Linked DNA regions of Rhinolophus ferrumequinum. The protein of the gene in region 2 binds, or shares a complex with, the protein of the main gene of each other region. Links are inferred from orthologs where the notes say so. Each region holds a gene or a part of one and is shown on either strand. Other genes may lie near its edges.

Region 1 (7,905 bases), on a different chromosome or scaffold from region 2:
AAGACTCAAGGACCGTCAGTACCAAGGTGCCCAGTGCTGTGTGCTGGGATCACTTGGGACGCGTCTCGCAGTGCTGGTGTCCACATTGTCCCCCTCCCCCACCTTGACAATTAACTGGAACCTCAGGCATCAGTGTGCATAGAGGTGCCTTGAACCGTAGAATAGAATAGAAGGGAGAACAAACACATTACTATTACCTTGGGAGAATCAAATAAGGCCTAGGGCTTTTGGAAGGACAGGCTTCTCTTTAAGAATGACCAGATGTTGACACAGGTACTTATGCGACTAGAAAGTGCCGTCTAAGCAGCTTCTCTCTTTGCTTCATGTCAAACAGCCTTTGTCTATTTACAGTCTGGGAAGCCTTGGCAACAAGTGTAAACAGACGGGGGCTTATCAATCTGCTAACTACATGTTAAGGTTACTACTTCCTGAGAGAAAAGCCCCTGTCCTCACACTAACTCCTAGGGGATTACGAACTCCACTCTGCCCAGAACATTCAAGTGCCTCAGTGCCTGATGCGGTGGAGCAGGTGCTGGCATACTTACCAGCCGACACGCTATCCCCCTTGCGCCCTGGACAGCTGTCACAGACGTGGGAGACGTGGTTGTGCTGGGACGGTCCGGGATGCACAGAACCACAGCACAGTGAAGCTACAGAGTGTATTTCATGAGCAGTTGTGGTTGTGTCAAGCAGAGTGGACCCAGCCCTCTTGTGGGTGTGGTGGGGACTCCACTAGAGAAGTCAGGCACCAGGGTGGCCCCCACAGCATGTTCTGCTTTAAAGGAATCAGTGGTGCCCTTGGCTCTGATCCTGGACACAAGCTCTGTACCTAGGAAGACATGACTTCTGAAAAACGGCGATCTTATGAATGTTTAAAATGCCTGGGGCATTAAAGTAATAATATTTCAAATGTTTTTGTCCCCTAAGGTCTCATAGTCTTATTGTGGGTGTTGATTGTCCTAGGACTCACTGGTGGGTTGAATCCATGATTCTGTTACCCAGCCACAGGCAGACTTTCTGTAAAGGGCCAGACAGTAAATATTCTAGACTTTGTAAGCCATGTGGGGTCTCTGTTGCAGTTTCTTCTTTGTCTCTTCCCCAACTCTTAGAAAATATACAAAACATCCTTAGCACATAGGCCATACAAAAACAGGCCAGAAGTGGCCGTCACTGGCTGAACCCAGCATGTCATTCAATACATAAGTCAACAGATTGTCCCTCCTAACTGAGACTTCCATAGGAGGTTTTGAAAAGCTTCAACATTCCTAAGAATATGGAAGGCCACACACATGTGTAGGGCTGTGTGTGTGCCCTTAGCTTTCATCTCTAACCAGGTGGATCTGCACAAGCAGGAAGTGAAGACTAAGACAGAGCTGTAAAACACCTTCCTGAGCATGAGGGCATGCCAAACGCGCGTGCGCGCACACACATGGCCCCTTGGCAAATACTGGGAGAATTACTGGCTCCAGGCTTTTAAGGAAATCTGTTCAATCATTAGTTAATCACTAAGCTAACTTAGCAGAGACTTCAGTGGCCACACCCAAGAAAGAATACAAGCTTTAGTTTAGCAAAGTCACTAAAAACACAAAGAGCTACAACAATTAATCCTGGAGAGGGGAGAACATCTGGTTTCCAAAGTTGCCTGATTATATTATTAAAATTTTCCAATTTTCAACACAAATCATGGGACATGCAAAGAAAAAAGAAAGTAAGCCTCACAGAGGAAAGAGGCAGTCAATAGACACGGTGCCTAAGGAAACCCAGGCATTGGACTCATTACACAGACTTTAATTATTTAAAATGTGTTTGAAGAACTAAATGAGACTGAGAACGATGTGTCATCAGAGGGCATATCATCATTAAAGAGATAGAAATTGTATTTTAAATAGAACCAAGTACAATGATGCCGATGAAAAATTCAGTAGAGGTGTTCAAAAGCAAGTTAGAGCTGGCAAAAGAAGCCATCGGTAAATCTGAAGCCAACTGAGATTATCCAGTTTTAGGAACAGAAAGAAAAAAGAATGAGGAAAAATAAACAGTGCTCCAGAGATCTACCTAGAGGCGTGGATGTATACCAGCATATATACATACAGGAGCCCTAGAAGAGAGGGGAGGGGAAGAAACATTGGAAGAAAACTTTCCCACTTTGACGAGAAACATTAAAATGCATGCAAGAAATTCAAACTAGGTAGGATAGACTCAAAGAGATCCACAACAAGACACACCAACCACTAAGAAAATAACTTTAAATATATAGTAAAAAAAAGACAAGGAAACTAAAGTGTTACACTAGAAAATACCTATTTAACAAAAGAGAAGGCAGTAATGAAGGAACGGGGAGCATATAAGGCAAATAGAAAACAAATAGCAAAAATGGCATACATAAACCCTACCTTATCAGTAGTTTCATTAAATGTAAATGGATTAAACACTCCAATCAAAAGACAGATTGGCAAAATGGATTTTAAAAAGCCAAAACAACCATGATCCAACTCTGAAGTGCTATCTGCTGAAGACGCACTTTAGACTAAGAAACAACAAGCAGGTGAAAGTAAAAGGATGGAAAAAGATATACCATGCAAACAGTAACTCAGGGAGAGCTTGAGCGGCCATACTAATAGTAGACAAATAATATTAGACAAAATAATTTTTTTTTTAATTGAAGCTTATTGGGGTGACAATTGTTAGTAAAGTTGCACAAATTTCAGGTGTACCATTCTGTATTACATCATCTATATATCACATTGTGTGTTCACCACTCAGAGTCAGTTCTCTTTCCATCACCATACATGGGATCCCCATTACCCTCATCTGCCATCCTCCTCCCCCTGACAAAATAAGCTTTGAGAAACAAAATTGTGACTACAGGCAAAGGACATTTTTTAATGATAAAAGGATCAATCCATCAAATTAATTCTAAACATATGAACCTAGCAACAAAGCCCCCAGATACATGAAGGAAAAATAGAAGATTTGAAGAGAAAGTTCAATAATATTAGTTGGAGCCTTCAATCCTCCACTTTTAATAATGGATAGAACAAATAGAAGATCAACGGGAAGTAGAAAACACTATAAACCAACTAAATCTAACAAATATCTATAGAGCTTGCCATCCAACAGTAGCAAAATACACATTCTTCTCAAGTACACGTGGAATATTCTGTGAGATAAACCATATGCCAGACCATACTACAAGTCTCAGTGAATTAAAAATGATTGAACTTATGCTACATCTGTCCTCTGACCACATCAAATAAATGAGAAATCATTAACAAATAGATTTGGGAAAATCACAAATATGTGGAAATTGAAACCACAGTCCTAAATAATGAGATCAAAGGGATCTCATTATCCCTAAATAATGAGATCCCTAAATAATGGGATCAAAGAAAGAAATCACAAGGGAAATTAGAATACTTTGAGATAGATGAAAATGAGAACATACCAAAACTTATGCAATGCAGCTAAAGCTGTTCCTAAAGGGAAATTTATGTTAAAATGTCTACATTAAAAAAAGATCTCCAGCTGAAATCTATGTAACTTTACTAACTATTGTCACCACCATAAACTTTAAGAAATCTCAAATCAACACCCTTTAGGTTTCTTCCCCCTTCAGAAACTAGAAAAAGAGTAAACGAAACCCAAAAAAGTAGAAAGAAATAATAAAGATTAGAATGGAAATAAATGAAACAGAGAATAGAAAAAAAGAAGAAATCAACAAGACCAAAAGTTAGTGCTTTGAAAAGATCAATCAAATAGACAAAACTTTAGCTAGACTGAGCAAGGAGGAAAAAAAAGAGAACTTAAATTACTAAAATGAGGAATGAGAGAGGGTATATTACTACAACACAAGTAGGATTACAGGGGAATCCTATGAACAGTTGTATGCCAACAAATTAGATAATCGATATTTACGGGCACATTCCTAGAAAGATACAAAACTGACGAAAGTGACTATAAAGAAGATACAGAAAATCTGAATAGACCTGACAAGAGACTGAATTAATGATCAAAATATCTTCCCAAATGGAAAAGCCCAGCACCAGATAGCTTGAGTGATGAACTCTACGAAGTGTTTGAAGAGTAATTAACACCAATCCAAAAAATGGAAGAGGAGGGAACACGTCCCAAGTGGTTCTGTGAGGCCACTGTTAACTCTGATAGGGAAACCAGACAAAGACATTACAGGAAAAGCAAGCCCACCAATCAGGAATATAGATGAAATCGCCGCGAGGGAGGGATTCCCAAGGGTCAGGAGGCTACTTGGGAGTGGTGGACTGACTCTATCCGAATCGTGGCGATGGCGTCACAGGTGACATACAGGTAAACTTACCAAGGGTTCCATTTTAAGTGTGTGTGTTTACTGTCGATCATCCCGCCATAGCGAACGCGGCTGTTAAAGACACACACACGAAGACGAGTTGAGGCACTCCTTGGTAAATCCCCACTGGAAAGATGGTGGCTCCTAGGACTCAGAGAGGCTACAGGGCTGGGAGGCCCCGTGGCGGCTGCCGGACCCCAGGACAAAGGAAGCCGTCAGCGAGCGCAGACCACCTGACCGTTCCGCGAGGTGCCCTCACGATTCCAGTGGGGTAGAGGGCAGTCAGCCAGCTTGTTTCTAGAAGCCGAGACGCGGCTGGGGTCTGCCCAGGGTGGGCATCAGCAATGATCGGGAAGTGGTCGCGGGGAAAATAGCGGCGCATTGAAGACTGCTCTCCACCAGCCTCTACTGGTGGAAGGAACGAGAGCCAGAGGGCAACGCTGAGTGGGGCGGGAGCGTACCGTCTCGGTACAGTTGTACACCGGCCCCTTCACACCACGGTTTCGCTTCCAAGTCGGCCCTATGTAAAGGACGGGCAGATTTCCGGCGGAAGTAGAAGAGCTACATTTCCCAGGAGGCCGTGGGCACCGTGCTTCCTTCCGGTGCTTCGGAGAGTGGCTGGAGGCAGGCGTGCAGGTGCCGCATGGATCCTGGCAGCCGGTGGCGGGGCCTGCCCCGCGAGCCCAGCCTCAAGCACTTGACGGACCCCTCTTACGGGGTCCCGCCGGAGCAGCAGAAGCCGGCGCTGCAGGAACTGACGCAGGCGCACGTCGAGTCCTTCAACTACGCGGTGCGCGAGGGGCTCGGCCACGCGGTGCAGGTGAGTGCGGCGCCTCAGGAGCCCTCCCAGCTCCGCGCTCGCTGGCGCCGCTCGGGCAGGCGGAGCAAAGGGGCCCTGCGAGGCCGGAGGCGGACGTGGTGGGAGGAGAAAGGGAAGGGGAGACCCAGGAGGCGGGCTACAGGGCCCAGAGAGTTGGCTGAGAGGTCACAGTATAATCCCAAATGGTGGTGCTCCGTGATTATGCCAGGCTCAGCGCGGGGCTTGGGCTCCAGTCGACCAGGGGAAGATGCATTCGTGATTCGTGGATTTATATGGGATTGGGAACCGTAGCATTTTGCAGAGCAGTTTCTGGGTGCTGAGAGAGTGGGGAGGTGGTCCGCCTGGGCTGTGCTTCTCAACCACAGTTGGTTGTCCATGGTTAACATGCTAAGAGAGCTCAGTGGTGCCCTTTCCTCAGTGGAACAGCAAAGCTTCCCCCAGGGAGTGGTACAGAAAAGCAGCAGCTGGGTAAGGGGAAGAACCACGATGGTGACCACCGTCCTCTTTGTATGACTCTGGCCTCAGTATGAGGCCACAGTTGGATGAACTGTACAAATATCAGCATAAAGAATCGCATTAGTGTCTGGTCCTGGATCAGGAGGTGCTTCCATATCCTTGGCAGCAGTCCCATTAGTCTTGCTGTGCTTATAGAGGATGCAAAGTAAGAAGAGAGTAGGCAGGCTCTTTGGTCAGAGAACAGCTTTGTTCTGTGTACATACGTTCCTAGGACCTTCTAGGAATCTGACACGTGGCAGACACTCAAATATTGGAGTTAATGCCTTCTAGTTTTAGGTACGTAGTGAGGGTGTGAGTAGACTGGAAGTAGTTTTCACTGTCATCTAGATGTGTCACATTAGCATTATAGTTTTGTAGAAAATGCATGGGATTTAGAAGGGTCTTAGTGAAAGAGGGCCTTGGCCATGCAAGCAGTTAATAGCGTGAATTGCATTTCAGGCTGTACCTCCATTTGAATTTGCTTTCAAAGAGGAGCGTGTGTCTCTCACTGTCGTGGATGCTGTCATCAGTCCTCCCACAGTCCCCAAGGGAAGCATCTGCAAAGAGCTCAACGTTTATCCAGCAGAATGCCGAGGCCGGAGGAGTACCTACCGGGGAAAGTTGACAGTGAGTGCAAGTGACAGTGTGTGACTCGCATGCTGTACATGTCTGAGAATAAGGCTGGTGCCCAATAAAGTGTAACCAGAATTCTGCTTTCTTGGTACCATCATCCAAGAAATCCCAGCTTTTAAGTCTAAAAGCATAAAATCATTTAATCTGTGGTCTCCTCCCTCTTTTAAAATGCTCATTTGTTCTTGCAGATCCCAATATTTTCTTTTTTCTCAAGTCATTGTTTTCATTTAGGCCGATATCAGCTGGGCAGTGAATGGAGTCTCAAGAGGAGTCATCAAGCAGTTTCTTGGCTATGTTCCCATCATGGTGAAGTCCAAGCTGTGCAATTTGTACGGCCTTCCGCCCAAAGCCCTCATTGAACACCATGAGGAACCAGAGGTGAGCGCATTCCGGGCACTGGGCAGCCAGGTGGCGATGGCGGGGGTCTGAGTGTGGACCCAGTTTTTCTTTCTCTGCTTCATTTCTGCAAAGGCAAAATGGGGCATTAATGTCTTGTCTGATATTGTGTATGGTTCATGATGAGTCTCAAATGAGACAGTGTGAAAAAGTGGCTATGCAGTAGAGGGTATTACGGGGAGAATTGATAGTTTCCCCAGTTTTCTGAATGGTACCCATTTGGAGACATACTTATTTTTTAAGCCATCTTAATCCACAAAACTATTGTCTAAAATGTCTGCTTCGCCAACAGTAAGATTCTTTGAGCATATTAAATGCTTGAGATGCCTTCCCTTTGGCATTTCTTTTAGCTGTGTGAGATGGCTTTGCAGTAACCAAGACATGCAGAGTGCCTTCATGGAGAGCTGTGTTATCAGTGGGAAGAGGGCTGTACTGTCACATCTGGGTTTGACACTCAGCTGCTCCACTTACCAGTCGTGTGGCTTTGGACAGTTCAGTCTCCTGAGCCTGTTTCCTCTGCTGAAAACGGGCACAGTAGCTACCCCACTCGTTGTTGTGAGAATGACATATTATGACAACACAGTGTACTAGCATGGCATGCCTGCTTCATGGTAGGCAATCAGTATAGGAGCTGTTTATTACAGAAATGTGATATTGATTGGAGCGATTAAAAATGTTTTCCTATAGTCTGAATTTCTGGTTTCCAGAGCTTTCATACAGTCAGCAGTTTTTTACCTTGTTTGGGACCATACTCATCTGGAAACGAAATGGTTACCGTTTTTTATTTGTTTTAATGTCATTTGAAAACTGAAGTCATTTTAGGGGACAGAAAGGCAAGTTAAGTCAGGACTGTCTGGTAGAGAAAGTACTTTGATTTCCTTCCATACTTTCCTCCCAGGCCCCTGCACCTTTTTTGTGTGCTTGAGAAGATTTAGTTCACACACTGACAGTTTCCCAGGGACCCATGGCTCTGTCACCTGTATGCCCCTCTCAGCACATTACACCGCATCTGTGGGAGTGACTTTGATGTTTGCAGTTAGTTGGTGTCCCATTTAAGTTAGTGACATATCTTTGTTTAACATGATAAGTCGTCTCTTTGGCAGGAAATGGGAGGCTATTTTATAGTCAATGGCATCGAAAAGGTCGTCAGAATGTTGATCATGCCTCGGAGAAATTTCCCCATTGCTACGGTGAGACCCAAATGGAGATCCAGGGGACCTGGCTATACCCAGTACGGTAA
Region 2 (7,222 bases):
TTCTCAATTGAAACAATCCCACGGCATAGTCAGGATTTACATTTAAAAACTGTAAACTGTACGCCTTCCTGAAGCCAACTGGAAGTGTTCCTTAGCCAAAATTAAATATTTGGCACCCTGTCCTTTTGTTCTTCAGAAGGGATTTTGAGTTGGTCATAAAAATACCACAAGACAGCCATTCTTTAAGATGAGGGAGTAGGAATGAAGGAGAAATAACAAAATTAAGATGAAATTAGGGATAAAGGCAATTTTCATATGGCCTGCTATGATGCAGAACACAATAGCATGAAGGGGGCCACAAATTTAACCGAGTCTTATAGGAGCCGGTGCTGGGGAAAACCCGACCAGTTACTCAGTTCACAGTCTCTAAGACGTGTCCCAGTGTTGCTGGAGATGCTACCTTTGGGTCTGACAACGCTGACCAGGATTGCTGCTGTGTGTGATCTGGGGCATATACGGAGCAGGTGGTGGAACCAGGACTGTTTAACTTGGAAAGAGTAGATGTGGGAGGAAGAGTAGATTCAACCTCCCAAACATTTCAAGGATTGGCAGCAGGAAGAACCATTCTGGTTTTGGGGTATAGTTCAAAGAGCAGAATTAGGCCCAGCACAGCAGTGTTCAGAAAGGGAATGATGGCGACCCATATCCACAAAGAGACTTGAACAGAGTTGCGAAACCCAGAAAGGTCACCAACAGGAAATTGCATGAACACATGGTGATATAGTCATACAATGGACTATTACTCAGTAATGAAAAAAAATAAAAAAAAGAAACTACTGCACAACATGGGTAAATCTCATGGGCATGTTAAATGTGATAAAAGACGAAGTGGAACTTTAAGCCAACATAATCAGTGAAGAGGAGCTATGGGAGGAGCTAGGGCTTCTGGAAGTTCTTGCACTCTATGTAATTGCAAGAATCCCACACATCAGAACCCTACAGGAAGAAGTCTATGTTTATGGTAAAGCTCCATAGTTCTAACTTCCCCTTCCATTAACTTCCTTTTCCCGTCTCTAAATACTCCTCCATCTTGGCATGCAGGCCAGAGTGTGCACATGGCTTGCCATACTCACATGCCCTGGGTTACAACCCTTCTTTTTCCCAAATCTTTTTTTGGTGATGAGACACCTAGTCATATTATTTTTCAGTTGACAAATGAAAGAAGCCAGACTCAAAGGAGTACCTTCTGCATGATCTTATTTATGTAAAGTTCTTGAACCGGCAAAATTAATTTATGGTGGTAAGAGTCAGAATCGTGGTTACTTCTTGAAGGGGATATTGACTGGAAAGTGGCACCAAGGAATTTTCTGGAGAGATGGAAATATTCTCTGTCTTAAGCTAGGTAGTGGTTGTCTTAAGTTTACATGTATGTAAAAACTCAATGAGTTGTATACTTAAGACTTGTGCACTTTACTGCATGTTAAGTAATACGCAGTAACAAAAGGAAACATAACAGCTTGTTTAGAGAAAGGAAAGAAGGAAGAAATGGAATTGACCTCCCAGTGCAGAAGCTGGATGGGTGGCTCGTAAGAGTGGAAAGTGAAAGAATAGTTTCTCAAAGATGTCCAGGTCCTGATCCCCACGGTCTATTAATATGTTGCGTCATATGGCAAAGGGGAATTAAGGTTGCAGATGGAATTAAGGTTTCTAATCAGCTGAATTTAAGATAGGGCAATTATCCTGGATTATCTGGGTAGGTCCGTGTAATCACAAGCATCGTTTAATAGGGAAGACGGAGACAGAGAGTCAAAATCAGAAATGGCATCACCAGAAAGCCTCAACTGGCCATTGCTGGCTTTATAGACGGAAGGGGGCCATGAACCAAGGAATTCAGGCAACTATCAGAAGCTGGAAAAGGCAAACAGACAAACAAACAAACAAACAAAAAAACCTGGTTCTCCCTTAGAGCCTTCAGAAAGGAACACAGCCCTGCTAACACCTTGATTTTAGCCTAGTGAGACCCATTTCAGGCTTCTGACCTCCAGAACTGTATGATATTGGGTTGTTTTAAGCCACTCAATTTGTGGTAATTAGTTACAGCAGCAAAAGGAAACTAATATAGTCTTCAATTTTTTTGCATGCATACCCATAAAATAGTTTTTAAAAACTATCCCAAATATTTTAGTCACAAGTTTAAATAATTACAAAAGGAGCAATTTTTAACTTATTATTTATTATAATAATCCTTCCAGTATATTTTATCAAAACCATAGAGATGCAGACTGAGCCTATTTCATTTATGAAAAACGCTCTCCAAATGATCTAACTGGCAAAGCCTACTCTCATAGTCAAACCACTCACCTAAATCAGACTTACTCTTTGTTAGAAACAGTCTGACTTTGTTTATTCAACTTAAATAAATGTGTTGATATTTTCTCAGAAGAACCATCTCATTTCATTGATTCAAATATTTATCAAGCATCTACTCTTCTAGTTGTTTGGGATACACTGGTGACCAGCACAGACAGAAGAATTCCCACCCTCCTAGAGTGACTTCTAAATTCTATTTCTGAGATAGGTAGCTGGGAAAGCCCTTAGCCTAACCAAGAAGTTAACATCTCAATGAGATAGCATCACGGCCAGCAATATTTTCTTCTTTTCTTCTGTTTTTAAAAGACTCTTTAGTGAAGTATAACATAGTATGTACAGAAAAGTGCATAAATCTTTTGATGAATTTTCACACACTGAACATATCCATGTAACCAGTATTCAGATGAACAAACAAAATATTGTCAGCCCCCAAAATTCTCCTTCCTGCACCCGTCCATCATTACTTCTTACTGAACCTGCTTTTCTTAGTCTCACAGGGACTCTCTTGCAGGAAAGCAACTTTTTGGAATCGCCCTCCTTGTTCAGTGCCCATCTTGGGCAGTACTACAAAGTGGGGAAAAAAGTAATCGTGAAAGGGGAGATGCAAAAAGGGAATCATCTGATTCCAAACATCTCCCAGATAAAAACTATTAATATACTATAGATGTAAGCCAAGATTCTGGAAATTGATTCTTTAAATGGTTCTCAAAGTGTGGTGCCTGGACCAGAAGCGTGAGCATCACCTGGGAACTCATTAAAAATGCAAATTCTTGGATCCATCCCAGATCTACAAAACTGGAAACTCTGGGGTGGGGCCCAACAAGCTGTTTTAACAAGACCTCCAGGAGATTCTGATACATGATCAAGTTTGAGAGCTACTACCGTGCTTCCCCGAAAATAAGACCTAGCTGGACAATCAGCTCTAATGCGTCTTTTGGAGCAAAAATTATAGTAAAATAAGTAAAATATAGTAAAATAAGTAAAATTTATAGTAAAATAAATACTTATTTATAGTAAAATAAGACCGGGTCTTATATAATATAAGGCCAGGTATAATTATAATATAATACTGGGTATAATATAATACAATATAATACTGGGTCTTATATTAAACTTGGCCCCTAAGCAAGCAGAATCATCATCTGGGAACTTAGGAACTCAAATTATGAGGTCCTACCCCAGCCTCCCTGAATCAGGAACTATGTTCTAACATGTCCTCCAGGTGATGTTGATGCACGCCATAATTTGAGAATCAATGCCTAAAGCTATACTTGCCTGACCATTGGGGAAAACTCATGCATCCCCAGAGTTATCTGTACACCTATATGTAAAGCCTACTTCATAGGATATAAGGACATAGGATATAAGGAATCATTAGGATTCCTACTGACTAATACAGTGCCTCATCGTGGGTGCCCAGAAAGTGTTTGCTGAGGGAATACATTTAATACTTAAAACAATCCTGCAAAATAGGACGTTAATTAAACAGAGGTGGAATTCGAACTCTCCTCAACGTGGCCTTCACTATCGGGACTTGAGGTTTTATTTCTACTGCCCACAGCACCACTTCCACTCCCATTCCCCCTCCTCCCGGAAGGTGGCGCTCTGGGGCGCCCGTAAGGCCAGGCTGGGAGGCGGGACTTCCTGCTTCGAGGGAGCACTTCCGGCTAGGTCCGGAAGACCGTTAATTACCGTTGTGAGGTTGATTCATCGGTGTTTGCTGGAGCTAGGGTGTTGCTTTGGGCTCCCTCGTGTCACGAGGGTCAGGCGAGCGTCACGTGGAGGTCCATGTCTCAGACGAGCTCCGCGAGGCCCGGGCCACGTAAGTGCGCGCGCCCTGCTGGACGGCAGGAAGAGGGGTGCCGGGGCCGAGAAGAAAGCTCGGGTCTGCTCTCCGCGCGAGTCCACGCTCCCCAAGCTGTCTGGTGTACAGCGTTTGATGAGAGTCCTTTGCTGTTGAAATTCTAGGGCCTGGAGGTGGGAGTTGGAAGAGATGAGTAGGGAGGACGTGGCCAAGTAGATGCATGAGGGGAGGGACCGTCCGGATCCCTTCACCCATCTCCTGCTACAGGCCCACTTCCTGCGAGTCCCGCGTGGCAGTAACGCGGCCTTGGAGGTCCGAGGAGGCCTGGAGAGCCTCAGGTGAGGCTGGGAAGTTGAGGTTGCCTTTTCTAGAGGCTTTCCTGAGGTCGCGGGCTCCACCAACACCCTCGGGCTGCCTGGGTTTGTTTGAGGCTGTTGGATTCTCAGGTTACCGGCGCCCGGTAACTTGTAACGGGTCCTTGCCCTTCTCGGAATAGAAATCAAGACAGTGGGCGAAAATTTTGCAGAGAGAAAGGTTTATTAAAGCGAGAGTTTGATGCACCACGGGAGCACACTCCAATAGAGAAGAGCATAGAGCTCACGGAGTTTACAGTCACAGCGGTTTTCATAGACTCTTGGGGCTGGAGGCCACTGCTTCCTCTTTCTCGTCTCCCTCCCCAAAGTATGTTGAAGTGGGTCCTACATGCACCTGTGCAGTGTACCTACGTGCTACTTCATGCTAGCATCTTAAGACTCTGCCTAGCAGAGTGCTTTTTCGTATTCGAATGAAGAAAAGTTAACTATAGGACAGCTCTTTTCACTAATGTGCATGTACAACTTTAGACGCTTTTCCTGAGCCTGCTTATCTCTCCTGTGATTATGGCTCTGTTTGCTCATTGTTGCTTATTGGCCAGGGGATGGGGCTCAAGGTTGTTCTCCCCAGGTACAGGCTCCGGCTATGTGAACCCCTGACTACCCTGTTGTTCATTCATCCCTGGATTTGTTCTTTCAGCTTACTGGTGCTGATTGTTACCGTGTAGCAAACACCAAGGCCCTGGGGATAAAATCCCTCTCCCGCTTTTTAATCAAACAGTGACATCTTTAATTATGTAATTACACGTTGCAGTGCGTGCTCTGGAGAAAGCATGCAGAGTATCGTGGGAGGATGGCGTTGAGGGAACTGGGAGAACTTCCTGACTGGAAATCTGAAGGATGATTTTGTCAAGTAGGATGTTGAGTAGGATTTTGTCGGTAGACCGGAAGGACCCTGGCAATCGCTTCAAGCAGAGCGACAGTGTGCAGAGACCCTGTGGTGAAAAGCCTGGTGAGGAAGAACCTAGAGGAGGTCAGTGTGATTGGAGCCCAGGAACCAGAGACAACCCAGAGACATGCTCACACTGATGTATCAGGGACGCAGCCGCCTCTGAGAGGGAGCTTTTTCACTGCCGTCGGTACAGTCCCTCCTATGGCAGCCAGTGTTTTTCACAAGGACTCACTGAGCATCTTCTTGATTCCTTCCACTGTTCTCTCTGGTCACGTTAAAGGGAATGACAGCAGCAGCCAGGCACCAATAACCCAGGAATGCATGAGATACAGACCCTGCCCTCAGAGGGCTTGCAGTCTAGCGGAAGAGATAAGACTATACCGCTGGGATGAGGCTGACTTGCTGGACAAGTTTGACAAGTAGTTACTGTGTGATGGACACTTGGCGTGGTCCTGAGGATACGTGGATGTACGGAGCTTACAGAATCAGCTGATAAAATGCAGCAGCGGTTCCACGGGAAAAGATTTGTGCATACGAAGACCCGAATGCTCGTGTTTGCTTTGGGATGCACAGGACAGTGGCGGTGCAGAAGTTGGACTGTGAATTGGATGGGGGAAGCTGCTGGCCTTGGGCAAGTGGCTCCTTCCTGAGCCACAATTTCCTAAACTCCAAAATAGGGAGACTAGAAGGCTAACACATGTCGTCCTGTGTTTGGCAGATGTTTACACTCAGTGAGTGAGCGCTGCTGTGATTTGTGCTGTTAGTAAAAAAGAAAAAGAGGGATGATGTGGCTACTTGTACTTCTAGAGCACTTTGTATGTAGCAAAGCCCTTTCACTGAACTTATTTTTATTCAACACATAATGTGTTTTCTGGAAGATACTATACTTGACAGTGGTTAAGACAGACAAATAAGACTCAGTGCCTGGCTTGGGGGAACTTGAGTTACTCCTGGGAGTGTAGCCTGGAGTGTAGGGCGCGTAGCTTACAAATACGTGATTATAATACCTAAGAGCTATGATGGAAGCTGACCCCTTGCCACCTGTCTTCATCCTTTGCCACTGGCCACTCTTCTTGTTCATTGGATGGCCTCCTACTTGTTTCCCAAACACTTCCTGCCCTAGGACTCTTGTACTTGCTGTTCATTCTGCCAGAAACCCTCTTCCCTGTTGTCTGTGGTTCTCTTCCTCGGTAGGTTCAGGCCATGCCAAAAGCCACCTTCTCAACAAGTCTTTCCCTGGCTTCCATGGCTAAAAGCACACCCTTGGCCTATCGCCATCCCCTCCCTCATGGTTGGTTGGTTGGTTTTAATACAGTACTTCCTAGTCTCTGGCAGTTGGCTACATACTCATTTGTTCTTCATTATCTGCTCCTTCAAAGAAGTATACTCCTCTGAGGGCACTTTTCACTCTGGAGGCTATTGGTCAGATTCAGGCCTTTGAGAATGCCAGTGTGACGTGTGGTTCTTATTTTCTAGGATGGATTTCCCCAGCTCCCTCCGCCCCACGTTGTTTATGACCGGCCCACTTGGTCTGAGCGATGTCCCTGACACGTCCTTCATGTGCAGCTGGAGAGATGCACTGACCTTGCCAGAGTCCCTGCCCCAGAACTCCGAGGTAAGGATGGCAGGGAGAGAGAGCCTTCACTTGGCCTTCTCTTTACTGGGTGTCACCTCGGGCAAGTGACAGCTTCCCTGTGTCTGCATTTCTTCATCAGTAAAGTGACGATGACTGTTGTATCAACTCGGCAGGCTCCTTGTGAGGGTTGAATGAGTTAATAAAAGACAAGTGCTGGCGACGACACCTGTCCCAGAAGCATTGTTGTCATGGTTGTGTTTTCCACAGAA
Region 3 (8,006 bases), on a different chromosome or scaffold from region 2:
GAAGTTTGAGCTGAAGGATAGGGTGGTTTTTAAGTGGCAGTAAGTACATCAAAATCTAAGTGACCAACAAATCATTTCAAGCACTTTTGCTATGGTATATCCACATATATAAAATACTGACTCACCTCAAAGCTTAAAATTTTTCTCCAAGGTAGTGATTTTCTCCCATTCTCTGATTCTAAAAATGGGAACCCAGGTCCTTTAGCTTTAAATTGTTTATTTATTTGTGACCTTCTAGTGTTTTTCCTTCCTTCTGGTCTTCCCCTTGGTCTTCCCGTTGGCTTATATTTCCTCTTTTTATACTTCTTTTTTTTCAGTCTTTCAAAAATAGCTTTTAAAGTCAATGGTCTTGGTTCAAAAGATGAGTCACTAGATGAATCTCTTGCTTCAACACTTTCAGGTGAATGAACAAACTTTCTAATTGTGTTTCTTTGCCTCCGTTTAGGTGAGTGAGGAACACACTGAGTTTTAAATAAGCTGCTACCAGAGGAAGAGTTATCACTAGGGAAAAAAGGGGGAAACTTAATTGCATCCTCTTTATATAATAGAATGCTTATTACCAGTAAAGTACTTTTCTTTCACCAAAGCAGGAAAACATGCTCAAGATAATTTTTAAAGATGGGCTCAGTACTAGCCAAGCACTTAGTTCTGATCGCTCTACTTTAAAATAGCCCCAAAGGCCAAAGCACTCACCAAATAAACTTCCAAGAGAAATACAAGTTCTACTCAGGCAGTCTTGTTCAATGCTGGAGGCTCCTTTAAATAACTCAAGAGTTGCCTAGTAGGTATACTAGAAATACTGATTTGATTACCCATTGAAAACAACAGATGAAGTAAGGAGATACCGCCATCAAAGACATAAGCCAAGCATAATGTGCAATAAGTTGTGTTTTTATTTTCCGAAGTTGATTTTTAAGCAAGATTGCCCACTGATGTCCATTTTCTTGTTATAAAATTAGAGTTAGTCAGGAAGAGATAGATATTAAGTTGGCCCAGAGAATATACTGTTTTCCTGGGTTAAGAAAGTGTTCCACTGTTAACTACGTAAGTACATAAACTTGGAAGGTCTATGTAAACCAGGTTTTTCTTTTCATTCCTAATTCTTGAAAATTACCTTTACCACTCATTATCTACAACGATTGATGCCTTCCTGGTGATTCAAATACAGTAAATATTATCATCGAATCTAGTGTTTTCCAGTAAAAAACTGGTGGTTAACACAAAAAAAATGCACTTACCTTTGATTGTCAATTTCCATAGCTGAATCAGATGCTGTTACATAGTCAAGAGAATCCATTCTTGATATGTATCTTCTCCAAGTCAAAATTATATGTCACTTGTTCTTTGCTTTAACCAAATTTCTGACAATATAAAAAACAAATATGTAGTTTCCTTGAACAAATCAATGCCAGCACAAACAGCTAATATACCAAAATGCAAAATCTGATGTAGTTAGATTATGCCATTATATGTAAATCATGGCAAAAATCATTTACAGGCCTTCAATATTTTCATTTAGGAAGCAACCATTTCAGATCAAATTTTAAAATCTAGAAGTTTTATTCACAAGTTCTTTCATTTGTGTCTCCAAAGTTATCCAATGGAACAAGATTCTAGAAAAGTACTGTCATTCCCAAGAAAAATATCAAACATCTTCCTATAACAGTAAAAAATATAATTTCATCACTAGCCATATAGTAATGTGCAATTACGAGTATTAACATTCAATTAGTGGCCCAAAAGCCATTTTCCAAGAGCAGATAGGAACTCCTAGGAAAAACTTATAAAGCAAGAAGGCAAATCATGGCCTCAATATACCAGGAAATATAATCATCACAATTTACTATCTCAATCCAATACACCACACTAAACTCCCGGTCTGGAATTTTCATTTATGGCCTCTTTCCATTCATAATACGGCTTATCAAAATCAATGAAACCCTCTTTCCTGGCATATTATCTCTTTGCCATTATGGGTATTAATTTAAAAATTTTGAATTCTCAAACGTTTCAATGAAAGATTAAGACTACAATGGTGCCCTTTGTCTTCCTTTTAAAAAATCTCTTTGGAAGATTTTAGAGTAGTTTGGTACAAAATAATTTTTAAAAAACATAACATCTCAATACTGCATCTCCCTTATAGAAGATGCTATCATTCTGCCACTTTTGTATAGGTGGGAATGACAAAATTGAAAGGAATCTTAGGATAAAATAGCAAAATATTTCAAATATTGGAAATCAATAAAGTCACAAAGATCTTAGATTTGTAAAATATCCAGCAGATTCACGTGGTATCTTCATGGTATCATTGTAGTTTTTTAATGCAACTTCTAATTAAGTCACGAAATAAATGCACAAAAACGAATTCAACAAAATTTGGACCAAAGGCACTGGTGGTATTCTTGAGGTTAAAGTGGAGTTAACTCAAAAGCCACTTTTTCGGACCCTTGTTTAGAAAGCATTCCTACTTAAGCGTCGCTTCCTATTCTAAGATTCTACGATGAGAGGCCACGTGGCCAGACAATGCACTTTACCAGCGCTAACTATACCTTTCAACCACTTACCATGTGTGACCTTGGGGCGAGTGTTTCCAGGAAGGACCTAACCTCATGCATGGAAAATGGCGTAATTGTTACTTCACACTAATTAACTCAGAAAACCTGTATTTGTCGATAATACTTTATAATACAACCCAGACACAATGGATCACGCCCAAAACAACCGCGAGCCCTCCACCCTCAAGGCCTGACTTCTACGGCTCGCTATTCCCTAAGCAACGTGGTGGACCCGGTAAAAGGTAGAAAAGCAACCCCTCCCTGCCCCACCAGCCCCGTGCGGCCATGTTCTCTTCCTTACCCATCCAGGTCGGCAGTCAGCTTGCACCAAAAAGGAGCGGCTCACTACGGAACTCCGCAGCCTACTCGCAGGCTGTAGCCCAGGCCTCGGGGGTCTGCACCCAGCAACCTTCCGGGCTCAGCACTCCAACGTGCCGACATCTACCCACCTCTCCAAGGACCGAAAGAAAAGGCTGAGGTAACTGCGCGACCCACTTAATAGTGGGGCCAAAATCTCGCGGTAACAATGTACTTCCGGAAAGAAAATGAGAGGCGGGAGACGCCATTTTGATCTCCGCGAAAAGAGGAGCGATTAAAAGTGGGCGGAGCTTTAGGGAACTCAGAGGAGGCGGAGTTGAAAGAGACAGGATTCTGGTGCAGGTTTCCCTAACCCAGTAGGTAAGTAGAACAGCCAAGAACATTTCAGCAAATGACAAAAAGAAATTGTAGGATCAAATGAACGGAATGGATGCAACCTGAGAGGAAACAGCCACTCAACATGATTTGTTTCCGGTGGTCTCGCCTTTGCTTAGCTGTGGTCCAGGGTGTGTGGGGGTGTGGGGATGAGTGGGGTGTCTGTGTGCGGTGCCGAGTGTGTTTTGTCATATTATGGATAGTTTTGTCTTCAAAAAAAAATGTTCTCTGTTACATTGTGAAAGGATCATGCCTTGACCATTATTCAAAATACGTAACCTTTGTACTAGAAGCCAGTGTTACTCTGTAGCACACCCAGTTCCTCTCTGCACCTTTGGACTTGTTAGCTCCCTCTTTCACTTCAAACTGAGGGGTCAGCTTCTCAGGAGTTGATTAACGTATCACAAGAGAAAACAACTTTTTTTTCTGTTTTTTCCCCTTAGTTCCCTAAACGGTTACTGAGTGTTAAAACAGTTTAAACTAGCTAAATTTTGGTGGGGTTTCTTTCCCAAAATAGTTACAAAAAGGAACTAGCTGGTTTGATTTGTCCACTTTCATACCTCTTTTATCATATGATAAACCAGTAAAGCTGTCTAGTGTTAGTTTATAGTTACTGTCATCTCAGGATTGGACAGACGTGGAAGGTAATCTGGTCTCTTCACTCAGTTTTCCTCCAAATATTGAACAATTCCAGGCGTAAAGTCTAATCCTTTAGGCATTTCCAGTCTATGAAAGGTAAGTATCACATATCTTACGGCCATATTCAGGAGCAGGCCTGGCCATGTAATCTGTGAGGCTCAGTACAAAATGAAAATGCAAGGTCCCTTGTTCAAAAATCAGGGGGAAAATGTTAGTTTATTATTGATAGCATTATTGTGATATTAATTATGCTATTATTAATTACTAGCATCAATTTGCTATTTAATTCACTCTAAAGAAAAATTTTAAATTATTAGCATGAATTTTACCATTCTTTATATTGTGCGCTGCCAGTTTTAAATACACATATAAGAACATTTAACTCGTATGGAGAATCACTGAAATTTCACAATTCATATTTCATAACTCATATAAACATCTACTGTTCTTACTAAAACGGTGGGGAATGCACAAAACTAACTCACCTGTATTTATTTTACTTTTTGATGTACACTCTATCGGTACTATGGAATCTGAGGACTTTTGTTGGGATGGTTTTTCCTGCAGGCAGCCCCCCTAAGAGCTCAATCCCCCTCCTCCTCCCATACCTTATCGGAGATGTCTCCCGCGGGGACAATAGTTAGAGGCCTCCCTGTCAAAACAAATGTTAAAGAAACACAGCTGCTAGGGACAGATCTCCCTGGCCCCCTGGCCAGATTTCCCCCCCAACCTGGAGGCCTAAACATATAAAACAAAGCGCCTGACCCCAGTTAGTGTTCAGTTCTTTGGGAACAATCCCACTGAGCCTGCTAGCGTAATAAAGCTGTGTTCTCCCTGATCTCTGCGAGCCGCTTGAGTCTCTCGGTCCTCGTCATTTCTTCCGCAACACTTTGAGTCTTCCTAAACCCCCATGTATCATGAGTCCACCAGAATTCTATGCTTACCCAGCTTCACAAATGCTTTATGTGAATGGGGGTAATTTGGAATGATGGTGGGCGTGCACATCGTGCCTCTCTCCTCTCATCCCAAGCATGCTCCTTTGTCCTATCAGTCTTAAACAAAAGTTCAAACATAACATTAAGAATTTCAAGATGGTGACAACAGAGCATTAAACCAAGTGCCATTCTGAGCATATTGCCTTGTGTAACTACCCTAGTTGCACACCCATGAAGCCAGCCCTGTCCCAGGGCCTTAAGTCTGGTACATTGTTAATGTTCAGTAAATAATTAGGCTGAACTGGTGTCCAGTTTGCTACACACTTGGAAGTGCTAGAAAAAGAAACAAGGCAAAATGGGATCACTTTTGCTAAGCACATTCACCAAACCAAAACCTAATAACTAGTCTAATTGCAATTTTAGCCTTTCCCAGGAGTGGAATTTTTAAGTAATCGGTATAGAATATCTTGATCAAAACTAGTGAGGTAAACTGCTTGATAAAACCCTTGGCATTCCCTTTACCCCAAAAGATGACCTGGCCTAAAAATAATCCTTTCTATTCTTTTGCTAGTATCTTGCCAGCCACACCCTTCTGCTTATAAAAACCTTCTATTTTTTACAACCCCTGGGAGCGCCCTTCTACTTGCTGGATGGGATGCTACCTGATCCATGAATCGCTTAATAAAGCTAATTAGATCCTCAAATTTACTCAGTTGAATTTTCTTCTTTAACAGAAGTCAGATAAGAGAAACACAGTTCTATCTTCAGGGATCACAGCCTAGGGGGAAGAAACAGAGCAACAGATGGTGACAGGTAACTCCTGTTACCCAACTTGTGGGTTGGGTTTTCAGTTCTCCCAGGATGGAAATCGTGCGAGAAACAATGAAATAACCAGTTGTCAGTAAAGGAGAAAAGAATTTTTATTAAAGGAGGATGGGATGGTTTGATGCATCAGGAGAGCTCACAACTAATGCTGGAGTGCCTCCTCATCTGGCTGAGTCCACCTTTTACACGTTTCTCAGTCCTTTGTTCTTGTTTGCTCGGGGAAAACTGCTGGCTTCCGCCTGCTGGTTCCTCATGACTTTTTTGCGCAGGCATAGTGGCCGTACATATTCTAACCTACTGCTTCATGCATAGCATGTTTAATTAGCATATGAAATCTCCCAGGGGTGTGTTTTGTACTATGCTAATAAGCTAAGGTCAAGAAAAGGACAGATTCTAGACTTAAAGTGCCTGCATCTATCTAAAGTGCCTGCATCTATCTAAGTCGGAACTTCCCGGGCCTGTCAATTTTCTTTGTGGTCTTCCAGCCCTCATAGCGGTTGTTTTTATTGATTAGTTAACCTTGGCTTCCTGCCCTTTGAGTACTCTCACAGATGATTTTCCAACATCTACCCCAACATTCTGAGTACTGTAAGATCACTCTATGCAAATTCTTCCTATTTGTTGAAATGTGTCATTCCTTCACCAGTTAACTCACATGATATAAAGTAATAAGTTCTGGCTTTACAGTGGGCTGGACTTAGTTTGAATTCTGTTTCTACCAGTTAATAGCTGAGTGATCTCTAGTCAATATAGTGTTTTTAACTGACTTTCTCTTTTATGAAATGAGGATAACATACATCGTTGTGAGAGGTTTTGAGAGAATGTAAAGTGCCTAACAGTGTGTCTAGTACATAATATGCAGTTAATAAACAGTTATCAGCTTGGTTGCCATAGTTTGTTTACCCCTTTTGGGCCTTGTTTCTGCAGCTCCACTTACCCAACTGCCTATTTCTATTCTTCCCTTCGCTAGACCTTACTTCTGGGCCACTGACTCCCAGCAATGGAATCTGAAGAATAAATATTGTGTGCCTCCCTGTGGCTCAAAGCTGTCCCCCTGTGGCCACTCTGACTTTGTATTACAACCTTTATAATTCCTTTCTCTCATCACTCCAACTCCAACCTCCTCTTCCCTCTCACACTATACACGCACTACCACACTGCCTTCCAGAATGTTGGCGGGGCTGAAGTTCTACATTTCTAAACCAATTATTCAGGTAGTAGCCTCCCAGGGTTGGACTTTGTTTCTATTTTGGTGGGTTTGGGGAAAACAAAAAGCAAAAAAACAACTGATCATCTTTTAAAGGGTGTAAAATCAGGTTTGAATTTAAACTTGAGTCTTTATTATTTCTACTATAAGTAGAAATATCTAGTGCTTTTATTATCCTCATTATAAATGTATTTATTCATTGAGCAGATTTTGACATGTTCTTAATTAGTACTTGCTGGTTTCTATAAAGAAAATGTGGTAAGATGTTAATACTTGGGAAATATTGTTGAAGAGTATACAGAATTATTTGTATGTAATTTTCTGTCCATCTGACATTATTTCAAAAGTTAAAATGGCTAATTCCTGAACAGTTATAGATTATTCAATTCAAAAATGTTTGAGAAAATTGAATTATGATTATATAGGACTTGGGGCCCATTATCAACTGTTTATATTTTATTTGAGACCAGTTTATGCCTATTAAGTAATTAAAGGATAATAAAAGTACTAAAGTAAATGTCAAGTCCTAAATGTATGCAATAGCATGTTTGTAGGGGATGTGTTTGGAATTATCATCAAAACTAAAAACCCAATTTCTAAGAAACTTGTGAATCTTTGGAAAAGTTAAAAAGAAATTTTTGAAAGAATTTTTCAGGGATGCTGAAGGTCACCTTTCAGTTACTAAGTAAGCATGGACCAGACTATTCAGATTAATGAGGTTTTCCATTAACAATTTTAATGAGAACTCCAACAGTGCTCTTAGAGATACTCTCCAGTTTTGCCTTTATACCCTATTGCAACTAGCCTCCAGTGGGATTTCTCACCCACCTTATTACTTTTGTTTGGGTTTATTTTTTTCTTTTGCCTTCATTTTATTTATCTCCCTCTGCTTGCACACCTCATCACCTGAACATTTGAGGTAAGATACTAATTTCTATGTATATATGCCTACTTACTGTAAAATACACTTAACCATATATTTTTAAAATATTATAATTGGTTATCAAAATAATTGAACATTAAAGCTGCTTACCAAGAAATGAAAGTAATTTGAATTTCAAAAGCTAATCTTTGTATAAGTTTCCATTTATCTTAGTAATTTAAATTTCTTTTGTAAAAGTGATAATCTAAGAAACTTAATTTTTAACCTAA

Evidence for each region.
Region 1: TAF1C (region 2) and POLR1B share a complex: the UniProt entries of both Homo sapiens proteins name them as parts of the pol I pre-initiation complex. The link is inferred for Rhinolophus ferrumequinum from reciprocal best matches to the Homo sapiens genes TAF1C and POLR1B.
Region 3: TAF1C (region 2) and TAF1D share a complex: the UniProt entries of both Homo sapiens proteins name them as parts of the transcription factor SL1/TIF-IB complex. The link is inferred for Rhinolophus ferrumequinum from reciprocal best matches to the Homo sapiens genes TAF1C and TAF1D.

What each region holds. Positions count from the first base shown.
Region 1 is NW_022680356.1:219,615-227,519, reverse strand, and holds the start of POLR1B (DNA-directed RNA polymerase I subunit RPA2), read left to right. Parts: upstream 1-4,844; 5' UTR 4,845-4,964; coding exon 4,965-5,141; intron 5,142-6,095; coding exon 6,096-6,263; intron 6,264-6,500; coding exon 6,501-6,647; intron 6,648-7,768; coding exon 7,769-7,901; intron 7,902-7,905. UniProt on the Homo sapiens protein: Catalytic core component of RNA polymerase I (Pol I), a DNA-dependent RNA polymerase which synthesizes ribosomal RNA precursors using the four ribonucleoside triphosphates as substrates.
Region 2 is NC_046298.1:29,691,749-29,698,970, reverse strand, and holds the start of TAF1C (TATA box-binding protein-associated factor RNA polymerase I subunit C), read left to right. Parts: upstream 1-4,165; 5' UTR 4,166-4,330; coding exon 4,331-4,452; intron 4,453-6,853; coding exon 6,854-6,992; intron 6,993-7,220; coding exon 7,221-7,222. UniProt on the Homo sapiens protein: Component of the transcription factor SL1/TIF-IB complex, which is involved in the assembly of the PIC (pre-initiation complex) during RNA polymerase I-dependent transcription.
Region 3 is NC_046294.1:64,901,659-64,909,664, forward strand, and holds the start of TAF1D (TATA box-binding protein-associated factor RNA polymerase I subunit D), read right to left. Parts: upstream 3,062-8,006; 5' UTR 2,857-3,061; intron 1,362-2,856; 5' UTR 1,298-1,361; coding exon 1,239-1,297; intron 502-1,238; coding exon 126-501; intron 1-125. UniProt on the Homo sapiens protein: Component of the transcription factor SL1/TIF-IB complex, which is involved in the assembly of the PIC (preinitiation complex) during RNA polymerase I-dependent transcription.